Oreochromis niloticus: one gene and its partner. The protein of the gene in region 2 interacts with the protein of the main gene of each other region in a pairwise test. Links are inferred from orthologs where the notes say so. Each region holds a gene or a part of one and is shown on either strand. Other genes may lie near its edges.

Region 1 (7,405 bases), on a different chromosome or scaffold from region 2:
ACATAGATTCTCAAGAGGCTGCTTAACTTTAAAATTTCTAGAGGTTGTAAAAAAAAAAAAATAGCTGGAGAAAACAACCTATACTCAGTTCTGGTGTGAGAACACTGAATAAGATTAAAATATTATAATAGCTGGACATATTTTTAAAAAATAATTAGCAAAGTCAGTGCCCCAAACATGTTTTGACCAGCATCCAGTAACATGGGTCGGAAAAATAAGCTTCTGTTGAAGTAGAAGGAACACTGAGAGAAGGAGATGAAAATAACTACAAGTGATGAGGAAGCAACGGGTAGCGAGGGAGCGGCCAAGTGGGGAAGATGAAAACCAAGCACACAAGAGGTTGGACTTTGATCCAGCTGCACAAAACAACGGGGGGTAGCAGCACCTAGGGAGTGAGGGCTGGTGACGGCACTGGGCCTGCAACTGATGCTCCAGCTGAGAAAACATGATAAGCACACAGAAAACTGACGCTGAAGGGCGAGGAATGAGCCTCAAGCGACTCAAGTCCTATGATCAGAGCACGGCAAGTTGTCTGCTACGTTAGCAACTTATGAAAACAACACTCTTAGTTTTCTATCAGGCTTCCTTTTCGCCCCCCTTTTCCAAAAAGGCGGGTGGGTACGGGGTGTGGGAAGTCCTCTGTAAACAGGAGGAGTGGGAGCCCCAACCTTGACGGATCACTGAAGCAGACAAGTGGAAAACTCCCAACCGGGTTTCTGGCTCGGCTGAAGCATTGTTCCAACCCATGCTCTTGTTAGCTAGCCGCCAAAGAGAAGAAAGGAGGACTGTGTGGAGCCTGCGGGGCTACATCCACAATTCAGGAAGAACAATATATTGAGCTGATGCTGAGCTTCGTTTATTACTCTACCTACAAAGTGTAAACAACTACTAAAGACAAAGCCAGAATACTAGTAAGACTAGAATGGCTTGGAAGCCCAAGGTGCACATTTTTTCAGCCATTCTGGGAGGATTCACTGACATCCTTAGATATTTTATATTCTGCAAAACAGGGTATTTGACATTTATGTTTAAGTTGGTAATGACACTGACATTTACAGAGCAATATTGTAGCTAATAGTGCACACTTTATTCCATCATATGAATATTTCTTTGTAGACAAGTCAAAAGTGTTCCTTTCACTACTTTTAGCCTCTGCACTATAGACGTAGTAAGCGCCAGTGCTAAAGGACGCTGAAGAAAAATCCACTATGTCACATGTGAATATCTCCTTAAAATTCTGCTCAGAGCTGCGTTCAAATCACTTTGCACAGGGAGTTGTTCACAAATGAATAGCAGAGGCCTGAAAAAGGGAGATGGCTAAAAAGTGTCCCGGAGCAATCAGGCTTGTTTTTGCTCCCTGACTGAAATCAAGCAACTAAAAACAAATGTCTCCACCACTCCCCATTCCGCATCACCTAGCATTTGATCAAAAGGTGGAAAAAAAAAAAAAATATCCCTCTTGCTTAAGGAAAAAGAAACAGGAAAAACAATGGTGACATAACTCCAAAGCATGAACAAAATGCCCTTTTCTGGTTTATTCAGTGCTTCGCCTACTTTTTATCCATATACTGAATGCTTCACTAAACCGGTTCAAAAAATGCTTATGCCTTTCAAGTGAGTTTTTAAAAATAACTATATACTTATATGGGTTTTCTTGTTAACCGGTTGCCCAATGCCTTCCTCACACAAATCCCACACATCTATGATTATTCACAGAGACATGTTATTTACTTTCTACAGTACTGTAGTGTAAGTCATCATGACACAGTGTGTCTAGTGTGAACATGTCAAAACTTATTCCATTATCCAATACACAACAGAGTACTGATGAAAACAATCGAGCACGTACAGGGATGCATTTGAAAAGGAAACATAGACACAACGGGATTCATGGTCTTGTAAGAATGCACTTTTACTGCCCATCAGCCCCGAATAATGAAAAAGTTGCTCTCTTTTTAAGAGGAAGCCAAAATAAGGTACATCATAAGAAACTTTCAGAGTATGGTGTGATATACAGACTTCAGAATCCAGAAAGGCGATGACATAAGGAAGCGCTTTCTAGACAGTTGTTTACAGGTTCTTTGTTACTCAAACGAGAGCTGCAGCTGAACCCCGCACGGCCTATATCATGGTGGTCTGAAGACAGATGTCGAGCTCTTCTTTTGGCCATGTATATGTGGGCCAGCCGCAAGAATAAACAATTGCATAACAATGGAGGGATATCCAGGGATTAGCTGAAAACTGGTACTAATGCCCGGGTGAGATCAGAAAAATTTGCAGACTGAATGTTGGTTTCGAGCGCAGGATGTCATGTATTAAGTTTGTTTCGGAGAGACGGGGTCCAACCGAAATACACAACGGTACTGCACGCTTCTGAAGTAGTTTGATTAAAGTTGATTTTGTGCCCACTGGAAGAATCGCGTATTAAAGGTATGCAGGGCACAAAAATTCAGTTTGTTTGTTTAAATGCTGCAGATTTTGTGCAAATGCAACAATAAAACAGAATGTCTAAAAACAAAAGCTATTGCAATTCTTTACATCTACATGCACTGTTGTGAATCATTCATGGAGGCAAAGCATGTGCAGACAAATCGCCCAGTAGCTCGGCCACCCAGTGAATGAAGAGGCGCTGTAGGTTATCTCATATATCCGTACTGGATTACCAAAGCTGATTCGTAAAGCGAAGCGACATGACCATCTGGCCCGATCAATGAATCTCCTTACCGTGTCCTGTTCCGGAGAAATATCAGCTTTATCAGTGGGTGCGTGAAATTCACCAGGCCATTCTTGGATATACTGGTGACCCTCAGCCTGTGGTCCAATATGTGCAAGTCCATATTCCTGGTTGCGAACAGTTCCTCTCCACTGCTCTGTTCCTGCATGCGGCGGAGAAAACGCCTTCCTAGCTGGATGATATCATTCAAATGTTAAAGAGACATAAGTCATGAGTATTTCCGCCGACTAAAAACCCCACGTCACGCTGGTGCTTCTCTCAGAATAGAGAAAAACATGCGACGCAACCAGACGCCAGCCCCGCTTAACTACTGTATATTCAAATAAAGGGACAGCCCTAGAAAAGACACGCCCCCTCCTCTTAAAGCTACAGGTTTATGCCGCTGTTTGGCACATGCACGCAGGGGGGGTGTGAAACGAGCTGTGACAACTTCCGGTTTTGTTTAAAAAAATTAAAAGCCATCAAATATCCTCATAACAGTTTCTGTTCATTTAGCGGATTTGACTGCACAACTAAAACAAAAGATTACAATAATTATAACTATTACTATTATTACAATTATTTACATTTTTTTTCATAAGAGAGTGTAAACAAAACAATATCAGTATCATTTTAAATATGATTACTTGCTGCTTTCCCCCTCCATCAACTACCCATGCTGAAATCTACCAAAGTTGTCTAATGACTCTGCCATAGCAGGCCTCATCAAAGTTGAGGATGACCCAGAGTACAGATAGTGGCCTGGTGCCAGCAGAATCATCTCCTGATCAATGCAGGGAAAACCAAGGAGCTGGTGATGGATTTCAGATCCACCACACCAACACTAGTGAACATCCAGGGAACTAGCATTGAGATAATGGACTCTTATAAGTACCTGGGTGTACCCCTACCTGAACAATAATCTGGACTGGCGTCACAACGCTGATACTCTTTACTAGAAAAATCAGAGCAGACTACTTGCTGAGAAAACAGATCTTTTGGAGTGCAGGGTGTGCTCCTGAAGAGCTTTTTCGACTCTATGGTGGCGTCAGCCATCTTCTGTGGTGTTGTCTGCTGGAACAGCAGCTTATCTACAGCTGAGAGGAAGTGGTTGGATAAGCTCATCAGGAAGGCCAGCTCTGTTCTAGGATGCCCCCTCGACCCACTGCAGGTGGTAGGAGGCAGAAGAACTCTGGCCAAAATAAATCAATCTTGGACAACGTCTCCCACCCCATGTATGAATCTGTTGCAGACCTGGAGAGCTCCTTCAGTGACAGACTGCTGCATCCTAGCTGCACAAAGGAGCGCTATCACAGATCCTTCCTCCCAGCAGCTGTTAGACTTTGTATCTATCACTGATCCCAATGAACACAATAAGTTGTTTGCGTCACTGCTGTTATTTGTACAGTTTTTCAGTGTTCTGTAAATACTTTCTCGTTGTTGTTTTTAAGCACTTTTCACAGCACTATCACTGATTCTGTAAAAAAAAACAACCAAAACCCCAAAAACATCCTACTCAGCTGCACATTTCTTTGAGTCTGAGTATATTTTTAATAACTATACAGTATTGTTTTTGTTACGTTGTAAATTTGCCATGTGCTGTCCATTTGTTTTATTTTATATTCTTTACTTTTGTGAGAATCTGTATCTGCCTGTCACTTTGGTGCTGGAACATGTGAATTCCCCAATTAGGGACAATAAAGGATATTTCTATTTCAGTAACGTTGCCCAAAGGTCAATAAAGAAATGCTTGTTGAACTTGACCTCTGAGTAAAATTCTTGCGACCTTAATGGCCATAGACTACAGGTGAACTCACTGACTAGTTGCTTGATAGTTACTTCATATTTTATTGATCTGATCTTATATGATAATGTTTTCATTTATCAGATGATCGCAGGTGTTACTTTCATAAACAGAAAAGTGTCAGTCATAAACTCGCATTTCAGGATTAATCCAGTAGAGAAGAATTACTCAAGATAAAGAGATGCAACTCTAATGATGTTGCTCAGGGTGACATGGTTTTTATGACACTTACATAGCTAGTCTATGAAAAAAAGACTACAGTATGGTTTTCCATACTTTTGTTTTCCATCAGTCTAATGTTGATTCTAAATATTACAATAATCATATTTTGTGTAGGTCACCTATTATTTCCCAAAAAAATATCCCAGATTAATGTATTAATTTATGTAACATCTTTACACATTGACTTTAAATTATAATTGAATCTGCAAAATTGAAATGTACTTAATTTTTTTAAGTACAATCAGTGAGGTGGGCTTTTGTTTTTATTTTTTTTTAATCAAACAGTTGTTTTACATTCACCGTTGCAAAATTCAGCATGATCTCATTCATTAAGTCATCCATGTACATTTAATAGTACTATCATAAAAATCTTTATTGTGGAAAAGAAAACAAACAAACAAAAACCCCAATATGTGTTCCGTTACATCAATTAATGATCAAAATAGAGCAAACACACCTCACTTCACTCCACTAAATCAGAACGTAAAAATTCCTCAATAACACCGTAACGCACAAACTCTTTTTCTCTTGTGTTTTCCCCCCCTTCACGTGTTTTATCTAAACCCTTGTAAATCTTGGTTTTTCAGGTTCTTTATACTGAATGTGCTTGGAAATTGTACAACTACTTTTGACTTTGGCAATATCACAAACATGGAATCAGAAGTTTTACTTCAATGCTTTTAGTAACAACACAGGTCATACAGAAGAAATGGAAACTACAATTCGTAAGACCAAAAAGTTAAGTAAAATTTGGTCATTGAATTATTTGCAGTCTCAGTCGCTTTCTCATTGTAAAGGTGAACTCTTAGTTGGAATCATTATTCTTGACTCCATACTTCGCAACAAAGGCACTGAGGACAGACAGAAAGACAGTTAGAAAATGATGTACTGAAAATTACAATTGTAATAATAAACAAACAGGAAAGCAAACAACAAACATACAGCTCTTAAAATTCTTCAAGCTGGGCAGTATCATTTTATAATTTGATGCTCACACTGCTTAAGTCTCATATTACCATGGATGGCCAATAAATTAAGATTTTTTTTAAATTATTATTATTACCGCAACCCTTTCATCTCCATCACTAACAACAATGGGGGAGGGGAGGCAGCATTATATAATTTTCTGATTTTGTGGCAAACATTTAAAGAAAACACTGAAGGTTTACTTTAGCCCTACTTCAAAGAAATACAGATTTCAGATCCAGTACACCGACCACATTAAACGTTTCAGCAGAAAATTGTTGGTAGGCAACTATGATTAAAAGAGTTTTGTGATCTACGAGTCTCAACTTTGCTCAATATAATTGCAGGTAAAAATAATCAATGAGGTATAAAGTAGCCCTGACAAAATCATTTTTCTTTTTTAAGGCATCTGGGCGAAGCATTTCTTTCTTACCTGTATAATACACGTTTACGTCCCATCCTTCTTTCCGCCAGGCAGAGTTTCTTGTCTCCTCTCGGGACTGGAGGCTCTCATAAGCTATGAAAAGACGGCAAAGAAAAAAGAAATTCCAATGAAAAAAGCAAAGCCAAAAAACTCCACCACACATATTATATTGCATTATGTGTGGATAAAATTTACAGTCACTGGCACCTTCGTTAGTTAAACCTTGCTAACATCAGGCCAAATCTCTTTTGCCATCAGAACTCAATTCTTAACCACACAGATTCAACCAGGTGCTGGAAACATTCCTTCGAGATTTTGATCCATTTTCACATAATAGGATCGCACTGTTACTGCAAATTCATTGGCTGCACATGCGGTACATGATGTGAATCTCCTGTTCTACCACATTTCAGGTAAGAACATGTAGTTCGTGGGTCACATATGGGTCAATTTGATCATAAATGTCAGACCACAATTAAATAATAACGTAAAAAAGCCACCCAAACATTTCTTCCCGTATGTTTTGAGTTTCAAGTATTAGTACATTCTGTCTATCAGTGAATAAAACAGCCCAACATGTCTTATGGAAAATATTTGCAATTACAACAATATGTCTCAGTATTTCCTCATGCTCTTGTCATTTCAAAGAAACACACTGACATAGCTCTTTGGCTGAATGCCCTTACTTCATTGAGATAATACAGGCTTCAAAAATGTGTGAAATTTATGATTCAAGCCCAGAGGCTTGATATTTTTAATATCATCTGAACCAGAGTTCAGATGATATCAAAAATATGGACAACCACTCATAAAACACCTTTAATACTTTGATTGACTCGCAATATAATGCTTCCTGTTCCAAGATGCAATCAAAAGTCCAAATGTTATGTCGAGTGTAAAATCATCCTTTGTTGATGTTTGACACACCTGGCTTATGTTGGAACCGTAACACTGAGCTTTAGTAATTCATTAGAATACAGAATGTATACAGGAGCATTCAGCTATCTGAAATTCAGCCAGACCAAACTTGTCAGACATTTTAACATACAGCAGTCAATCACCTCATCTTACAGGCATGTTTTAAGTGTAGAGTGCTTAATTACTCACCCCACAAGTGATGAACAACATAGAGTTGGCCAATCTGTGTGAAGAAACCGCCTACTGCCTCATTGTTTTCTTGTCTATGTTTGATTGCCCTCGCCCTGTTACAAAACATTATCTTATTTAGTATAAAGATCACTGAAACACTTCTGATATTTTCACTTCCACTGGAAGA
Region 2 (7,452 bases):
GTGAAGTCAGTGATGCAGCAACCAAGTCACCAAGTCACATATATGTAAAATGTAACTGAAGAACTTCAATTAAATTTTATTTATATAGTGTGAAATCAGAACAACAATCATCCACTGTTGGAAAATCCATAGAATTCAACTGAACACAAGTAGAAAAGAGACGATGTGTTACCACCCTGATGAATTATTAATGTCACCATCAAAATATGTTCTCATTCTTCATCGTGTTGCTCACCTGACTTGTTGATGTTGAGCTGTGCCAGACTCTCTGACAGATCAGTGGTGCCCGGTTCTCCAGGGGCGTCTGGAATATCATGGATGGCATTCCTGCGGCCAGATCGTCGAGAGGCGATGAAGTCCTCATAGGTCGCCTCCACATCCGTCATCGCTGACACACCTCACCATAGCAGGGCCTGGCGCACACAGCAGCACACACTGACACACCTTTTCAAGTTGCACAGGTGCACAGTGACCCACAGACAGTGGAATCTGCACCACTTTTATGGAAAGATCGCTGAAATGGACAGAATTTGTGCAGCTTCTCCTAAATAACTTTACACAATGGCAACACCAGTTTTTGTTGACAAGAAGAATGTAACGCGGCAGGCTATGCAGGCACTCATTGAATACATCCCTCCCTCCGCTTATCTTATGACCTAATCCCTGCTTAATCTATTTTAATCTCAGTCTAGGGTACGGGCGACACCATGGATACAGAGGAGGCAAATTCAGTAGAAGGAATGCCGAGGAGAGCGATGGGAAATATAAACAGGCAATCTGATGCATTACATTAACCAAAGAGCACACTTAAAGAGGTCATTAAAGCAGAATGAGGAAAGTACTGTCATATCACTTGGAGTAAGCATGGAGCATGATGGGAACTGTGCTGCCCCGGAGATTTAGGTTAAATCCTTCTGCTTATATTCAAGCCCTTTGTAGCAATCTGTCTGGCTGAGGCTGTCCTTCAGCACTGAGCAGATTCAGGCTTTGTTGTCACATTTCTTTCAATTAAAATCTGCTATTATGAGATTTCTTTGGCTGTATCAGTCTGGATATCTGCATTTATTTGCTGCCACTACTTTAAAATTTTCAAGGAAAATAAAAAACCTCAGAAGACATCACAACACTCAGTCACAAAAAAAGGTTGGTTTGATTTTCCCCAAGTCAAATGCAGGATTTTTAAATTATGTATAAGTATATATTAAAAATGCCTCACTTTCACATCCATTTGTGGCTATTTCCAGAGAAAGTTGTGGTAGACCGTGGCTATTTTTGGAAGCCTCCTCTGTCATCATCTGAGCACCCTCCCACTCAGCTGTCATTCTCAAAATGGTGTCAAGATGGGCAAGACCCAGCAGATGCTGTCCGTGTACGACTGACAGACCAAACGTGTGAGGAAGCAAGAGAGATAAGACGGCTGTTCTCTAACTTAATATGAGAATCGGGGCACTGGATTGTGCTCATAGGTATGACTGGTTTATTAGCAATAAAGAAGAAATATCATTTGAAACATTACATCATGTAAACAGCTGGTTCATTTAGCTTGCATGAGTAAATGTCCCAGGCTTTACTGGTAGAACCAAATGAGATATAAAATTCTTGCCCACACCTTTCAATAAAGAACCTGTCTTATGATAGAACATAAGTGAATCTAATTGGGATTCATTATCATTGCCAGATCTGTAAGTGCAGACATTTTTTCCACTGAAGCTGTGTTTATATTTGAAGTTAGAAGTTGAAGTTAGAAGTGACAGGACATTTTGCGATGTTTTCTCCTATGCTCATATTCTATGAAATATTAATTGCCAGTTTACATAATTCAGTCAGACTGTTGTACCCATGAATTAGAACATCGGCTACTCAGCTGTGTGTGTGTGTGTGTGTGTGTGGATGTGTGCGCGCGCTCTTGCAGTAGAATACTCCTGCTGTCCTCATGGTTTTACTCCCATGTGGGAAGTAGAGCTCAGCTGGCCTGGACACCAATATATATAGCACAGACTCCAAACAAATGATCAAATCGCTGAATAATACAACAGGCCAGCCCTCTCTGTCTTTCACTATGAAGTTGGGGGGGGAGAGAAAAAGTCTACTCCTGCTTTGCAGCTGTTTGATTTGTTATGCTGCCAAACAGAAAATTAGCAGTGATAAAGGCAGTACATGAACGAGTCCCAGAAACTTATGCCAGAGTTATTCTAGGTGGCCTGGGCATACCTGGGACTGATGCCAGTGGTCTCACTTTTTCTCTCATGCTCGCATACACAAACAGACATGCTATACTCCAACATCACCGTGCCAAGCGCAAAAGTAAACAATTTCTCCTTAACCACGGATTCACGCGCAGCTGTCAACATCCTCCATGTAAGAGCGCACAGATGTTTTACTGTTATTTCTACAGCTCGTACATATTTAAGGCAGGCTTAGCTAAGTGATTTATTTAAAAGTTCGTCGCGAGTCTGCGTGAGTGCGACGTCACTCCACAAAGACCTCTATGTCCAAAATGACAATTTATCACCTACTAAAGGCTAAGTGGAAGCGCTGCAGTCACGCGCATTGGCGTCCTAAATAATAAAGCGCTAGTTTTTTTTTCTTTTTTTTGTTAAATACATATAACCTTTAAATACAGACGAGCTTAAGATTGCAGGAGAATCTGAATGTTTAAATTCATTATTAAAACCAAGAGCCATTCGTCTGTCTTTGATGACAAAGACCCCCACAGAGTCAGGTCAGTGCCAGTAAACGTAGCCTGCATGATATTAACATTACACATGCATTTACGAGCTTTGCGCACTTTGCACCTGCAGTTATTATTCTTAATATGATCAGCAAGGTATGCTACCTGTTTGGGATAAATGGCTTCCGAATATTCGCAGGGGTCAATCACATCGGCTCGGATCTTGCCATTTCGGTATTCCCCAATGCGCTCATGAAAGAGAATTACTAATGTCAAGCAAATCAAGCACACCGAAGCTACTTCCGAGTATCACTTTCAAAATAAAACCGCATTACTTTGAAGGGACGCTTAACAGAAAAGTTTTTCATTACCAGCTACTTTACCTACTCCTTTATTTGATTAAATAGATAAATATACATATAAATAAATAAATACACATATAGGATTAGTAATAGGAATACTTGCACCACATTCCTTAATTAATATCTGACAAAGTGAGAGCCATACACTTTAATGCCAAGTGCATCTTTTAACCGTGAATGTGTGTGTAAAATCATTAAATTTTAGGACAGAGACTTGTTTAAAGGTTAGGATACGTTAGGGCTTGGCGAATGGTTATTATTCCATTGCTATAATTTGAAATGGTGAAAAGGCATCGCGCTTGGGCGTGTGTGTGGTGTGAGAGATCACACAAAAGGGAGTCAGTGTTGAAACAACGCCCCTCTTGTGATAAAGGCACATGTTTGCTGTGCCCTCTTAGCATCTGTCCATGAATCATTCCATTCAGATGACACATGTTGTCAGTATGGCAAATGAGGAACTTCCTAGTGTTTGGTCTGCGCAAGTGTTTGAGCTAACAAAAGCAGCAAATGAGCACACTAGTTTGGGTGTCTGGTTGATATAACGAGTTATCTGTAAATGACCATCTCCAAACAAAGCTGAGATGCAAGGTAAAGCTACCAGCTTGTTTACTCATTTACATAACTTTGAATCAACAACAACACTAATAACTAATAGCATTTCGTTTTTTATTTATTTCTATAGCTAAAATAATTGAAAAAAAAAAAAAGACTTCGTCCCAGTAACAGCAACATTTGCGAGTTTCCAGCGAAAACTGAGCTACGCAAACTCCAAAAAAAATTTTATGGTTAGGAGTAGTACTGGGAAACATGACAGAGGTTCCCTCCCACGCTCCACCTGCTGTCCAAAATAAACAGTGCATACTTAACACTCCATCAGAAACAGTGCAGTAACAACCAATGAAATACTCGCATGTTAGCTCACCGAGCGGCATCGGACAACCCAGTTGCTATCGGTAGCCAAAGATCAGTAGTGTCAAGATAATTACCTGCCATTGGGAATTGGAACAGGATAATAACGTCCCAGAAAAGACTAACTAGTGTCGACATAAGTCACAGAGAAACAAACAAAACATAAAAAATGACAAACCAAAAATGTAGATCTGCACAGGACATCAGTAATTCACAATACACTGCAGAATCAATTTATATGGAAATTAAAGTAATTTTCCTTACAGGATAAAAGGGTAAAACTAAAACCTTTCTCCCGTTTTAGCAAAGCCGGAAATGAAGAGGGGTTTTCATCTTGTATTTTCCGTCTACGTCTGGCCGTTTTCTAACAACAGCAGCAGGACCAGACAAGGGATAACCTAAGGATGGAAGAATTTGAAGGTATGCGATATTGCTGTTCGTGTGTTTACTTCAGCCTTTTGTGGCAAATTTGGGATTTTAGCATTTCGGTTTTATCTGCCAAGTGGACGCGTTGGGGTTCGCGGCTGCTTTAGATGAACAGTTTTGCATAGCGACCTCCTTTTTGTTTGGGTTTTAGCCCAAGTAATGCTAGGTAACGTCAGGGCCAAAGAAGAAGCTAGCTGCTCCTCCTCTCTGAATGGGTGTGATTCCTAGCTAGAGGAGCTATCCAGCTAACCAGCAAACTCCTAACAAATAACACCATCTAAACGAACAACAAAACATTGTTGCCTTTACTGTGGCAGAGGAACACAATTTATGACAGCGAAGTGTTTACCTTGTATCAAATGTTAACTAGGTCATTATTTTTCTTCCTATGTTTGTTTAGTCCCGTTGTGGTCCATGTTTGCTCCTTAAACCTTCACCACAATCAGAATTTATTCTGTTATTCTTGCAGATGGCGAAGCTTCTCTGGTTGACGATCGGGTTCAGTGTAATACCTGTAAAAGATGTTTCTTCCCCAAAGTCCTGGTAAAAAAAACCCCAAACCACCTCTTGCACATTTCTGACATTTCTTAATACAAAAAAACAAAACAATGTGTAACACTGTTCTAAGAGTACAATATTTTAATCGCAGACACTTTAAGTGTGTGTGTGTGTGTGTGTGTGTGTGTGTGTGTGTGTGTGTTGATCACGCACTGTGATTAACCCGCCTGGCTGACAGTATTTACCACATTAATTCTCAGCTGACAGGGTATCAGCTGTTTGTTCAATAATAATGTGTCCCTGGCTATGATCCAGATAGCTAGCAGGGTCGTGTGAAGAGCTCTGTAGGGGAGTAGAAGGTTTTATCAAAGCAGAAATGCTTTTTGTTTGAACAAATTTGTGATATTCAAGACTCTGATTTAAAAATTTCACTAAGAAACTTCTCTAGCAGTACTGTTTTCCCATAAAATGGAGTTGGAAATATTGGTCATTAATTAATTATTTAATTAATTTCATAGTGGGCCATTTTTTGTATATAGATGAATTGTAGCACAGGTGTCAACTGGACTGTATCATGTGAAGCATTTTCTTTCACTTCATCATCTAAATCAGTGAATGGAGATTGTTTAGAAAGGATGGCTTCACAGCATGTTCAGCAATACAGTACTCTCAGCACTGTCTGCAGCACATGCAGGTAGGGGTGGTGTCATAGCGCTATATAAATGCAATCCATTATTATTATTATCATTATTATTATTAATATAGGCGAAAAGACTGTGGTGTTGAGTCATGGTTATGGATGACAGATAGACTCATCTGTATTTCGGAAACTGCTGATCTACTGGGATTTTCTCATATAACCATCTCTTGGGCTTACAGAGAATCGACAGGAAAAAAAAGAATATATTCATGGAGCGGCAGTTATCTGGGTCAAAATGCCTTGTTGATGTCAGATATCAAAGGGGAAAGGCCCAGCTGCTTCAAGCAGATAGGAAGGCATCAGTAACTAAAATAGCTGCTTGTTACAACAAAGGCACACAGAAGAGCATCTCTGAATGCTCTTCTGTGTTCAGAACACAAGCACATTCAGATGTGGGCTGCGGCAGCAGAAGACCACACCAGGTGCCACACTTATCAGCTGAGAACAGGGAACTAAGACTACAATTTGTAAAAAAGTGTTGTCTGGTTTTACGAGTTTTTGATGCACCATTTGGATGGGAGGCTCATAATTTGATGTAAACAGCATGAAAGCATGGCTCAGTCCTGCATTGTATCAGCAGTTCAGGTTGCTGGTAATGGTGTGGAGGATAGCATAGTTTTGATACAGCCGTCTACCTGAGTGTTGTTCCTGACCTTTATTAACACAGTGTACCCATCTACTGATAACATGACATGTTCTGATGTTCTGATTATAACATGGCATGAAGCTGAGATTATCTCAAAACTGGCTTCTTATAAGTCACAGTGAGTTCGGTGTACTCAGATGACCTCCACAGCCACCAGATCTCAACATCTTTGGGATGTTTTAGAATAGGAGATTTACATTGTGGATATGACAATGACTGACAAATCTGCAGCATCTGTGTTACGCTATCATGTCAGTGTGCACCCAAATCTCATGCAACAAGAATTAAGGCAGCTAAGAAGGAAAGAGGGGGTTCATCCTGGTACTAATGTGTACCTAACAGAGTCGCTAATGAGTTTATATATTTTACTCCCCAAAAATCCTCTATTCCTTTGTTTATTATGTTGAAATGACTAAAACTTAATACAGAGTTAATACATTGAAGCTATAAAGATTTTGGTGTTTAATTTGAAGAGTATTTTCAGGTAAACAACCAAATATGTGCTCCCATGCAAGCACTCAGCCTCATTAGTAGATAATGGCTGCATTAAAGAATGGTGTATTATTCTAGGTATGTATAGCAATATATGCTTGGTTCTCCATCAGGAAGACATTAGTGTGCTAGAGAGTTGGCTACAGCTTTGAGGAGGTTACTGGTGTTGTTGATCTTACTCATATAAATTTGAGCTTGAAATGCTTGAAAGAAGGTTTCCTCCTCTTTCAAGAAATTCATTTAGGAAAATGTCGTTGAAAACTTAAATTATAGTAAAAGACAGATCTTAAGTGATGCCAGTGGTGTTAAAAACAAATAAAAATGTTTTGTCATGTTTTGTGCACATTGTCCTCCTCCAACAGGAGAAGCACGCAAAAATCTGCCAAAAATCAGCAACTAAAAAGAGGAAGGTTTTTGACTCCAGCAGACAAAGAGCTGAGGGAACAGACATCCCCGTACTGAAACCCATCAAACCAAAGGTAAGCCTTCAGCAGAGCGATGGAAATCCACATAAATTGTCAGCAGTGATTGAAAAAAAAATTGCCTAAAGTCAGAAAACTAGCTGGATTTCACACTGTTAAAACACTGTTGTTCATTTTTTTAGGTAATCTATTCATTCATAAATACGCCCAGCTTTTATTATTAAAAAATGACCTGGTTTTAATCTGAGGTTATTTATTCAGTCTTGTATCCAATAATACAACACCTAAAGGAAACAATGCTGTCCATATTCCTTAATTATGCGAAA

The links. The genes of interacting proteins can lie anywhere in the genome.
Region 1: the proteins of zc2hc1a (region 2) and castor1 interact in binary tests that used the Homo sapiens proteins (3 or more experiments, as listed by UniProt). The two-hybrid records come from large-scale screens. The link is inferred for Oreochromis niloticus from reciprocal best matches to the Homo sapiens genes ZC2HC1A and CASTOR1.

The regions. Positions count from the first base shown.
Region 1 is NC_031977.2:29,895,321-29,902,725, forward strand, and holds the start of castor1 (cytosolic arginine sensor for mTORC1 subunit 1), read right to left. Parts: upstream 3,083-7,405; 5' UTR 2,883-3,082; coding exon 2,725-2,882; intron 1-2,724. Other genes in the region: nipsnap1 (protein NipSnap homolog 1), read right to left, coding at 5,526-5,590, 6,139-6,222, 7,237-7,331. UniProt on the Homo sapiens protein: Functions as an intracellular arginine sensor within the amino acid-sensing branch of the TORC1 signaling pathway. As a homodimer or a heterodimer with CASTOR2, binds and inhibits the GATOR subcomplex GATOR2 and thereby mTORC1.
Region 2 is NC_031974.2:23,287,102-23,294,553, reverse strand, and holds the start of zc2hc1a (zinc finger C2HC domain-containing protein 1A), read left to right. Parts: upstream 1-4,246; 5' UTR 4,247-4,346; coding exon 4,347-4,362; intron 4,363-4,837; coding exon 4,838-4,911; intron 4,912-7,066; coding exon 7,067-7,183; intron 7,184-7,452.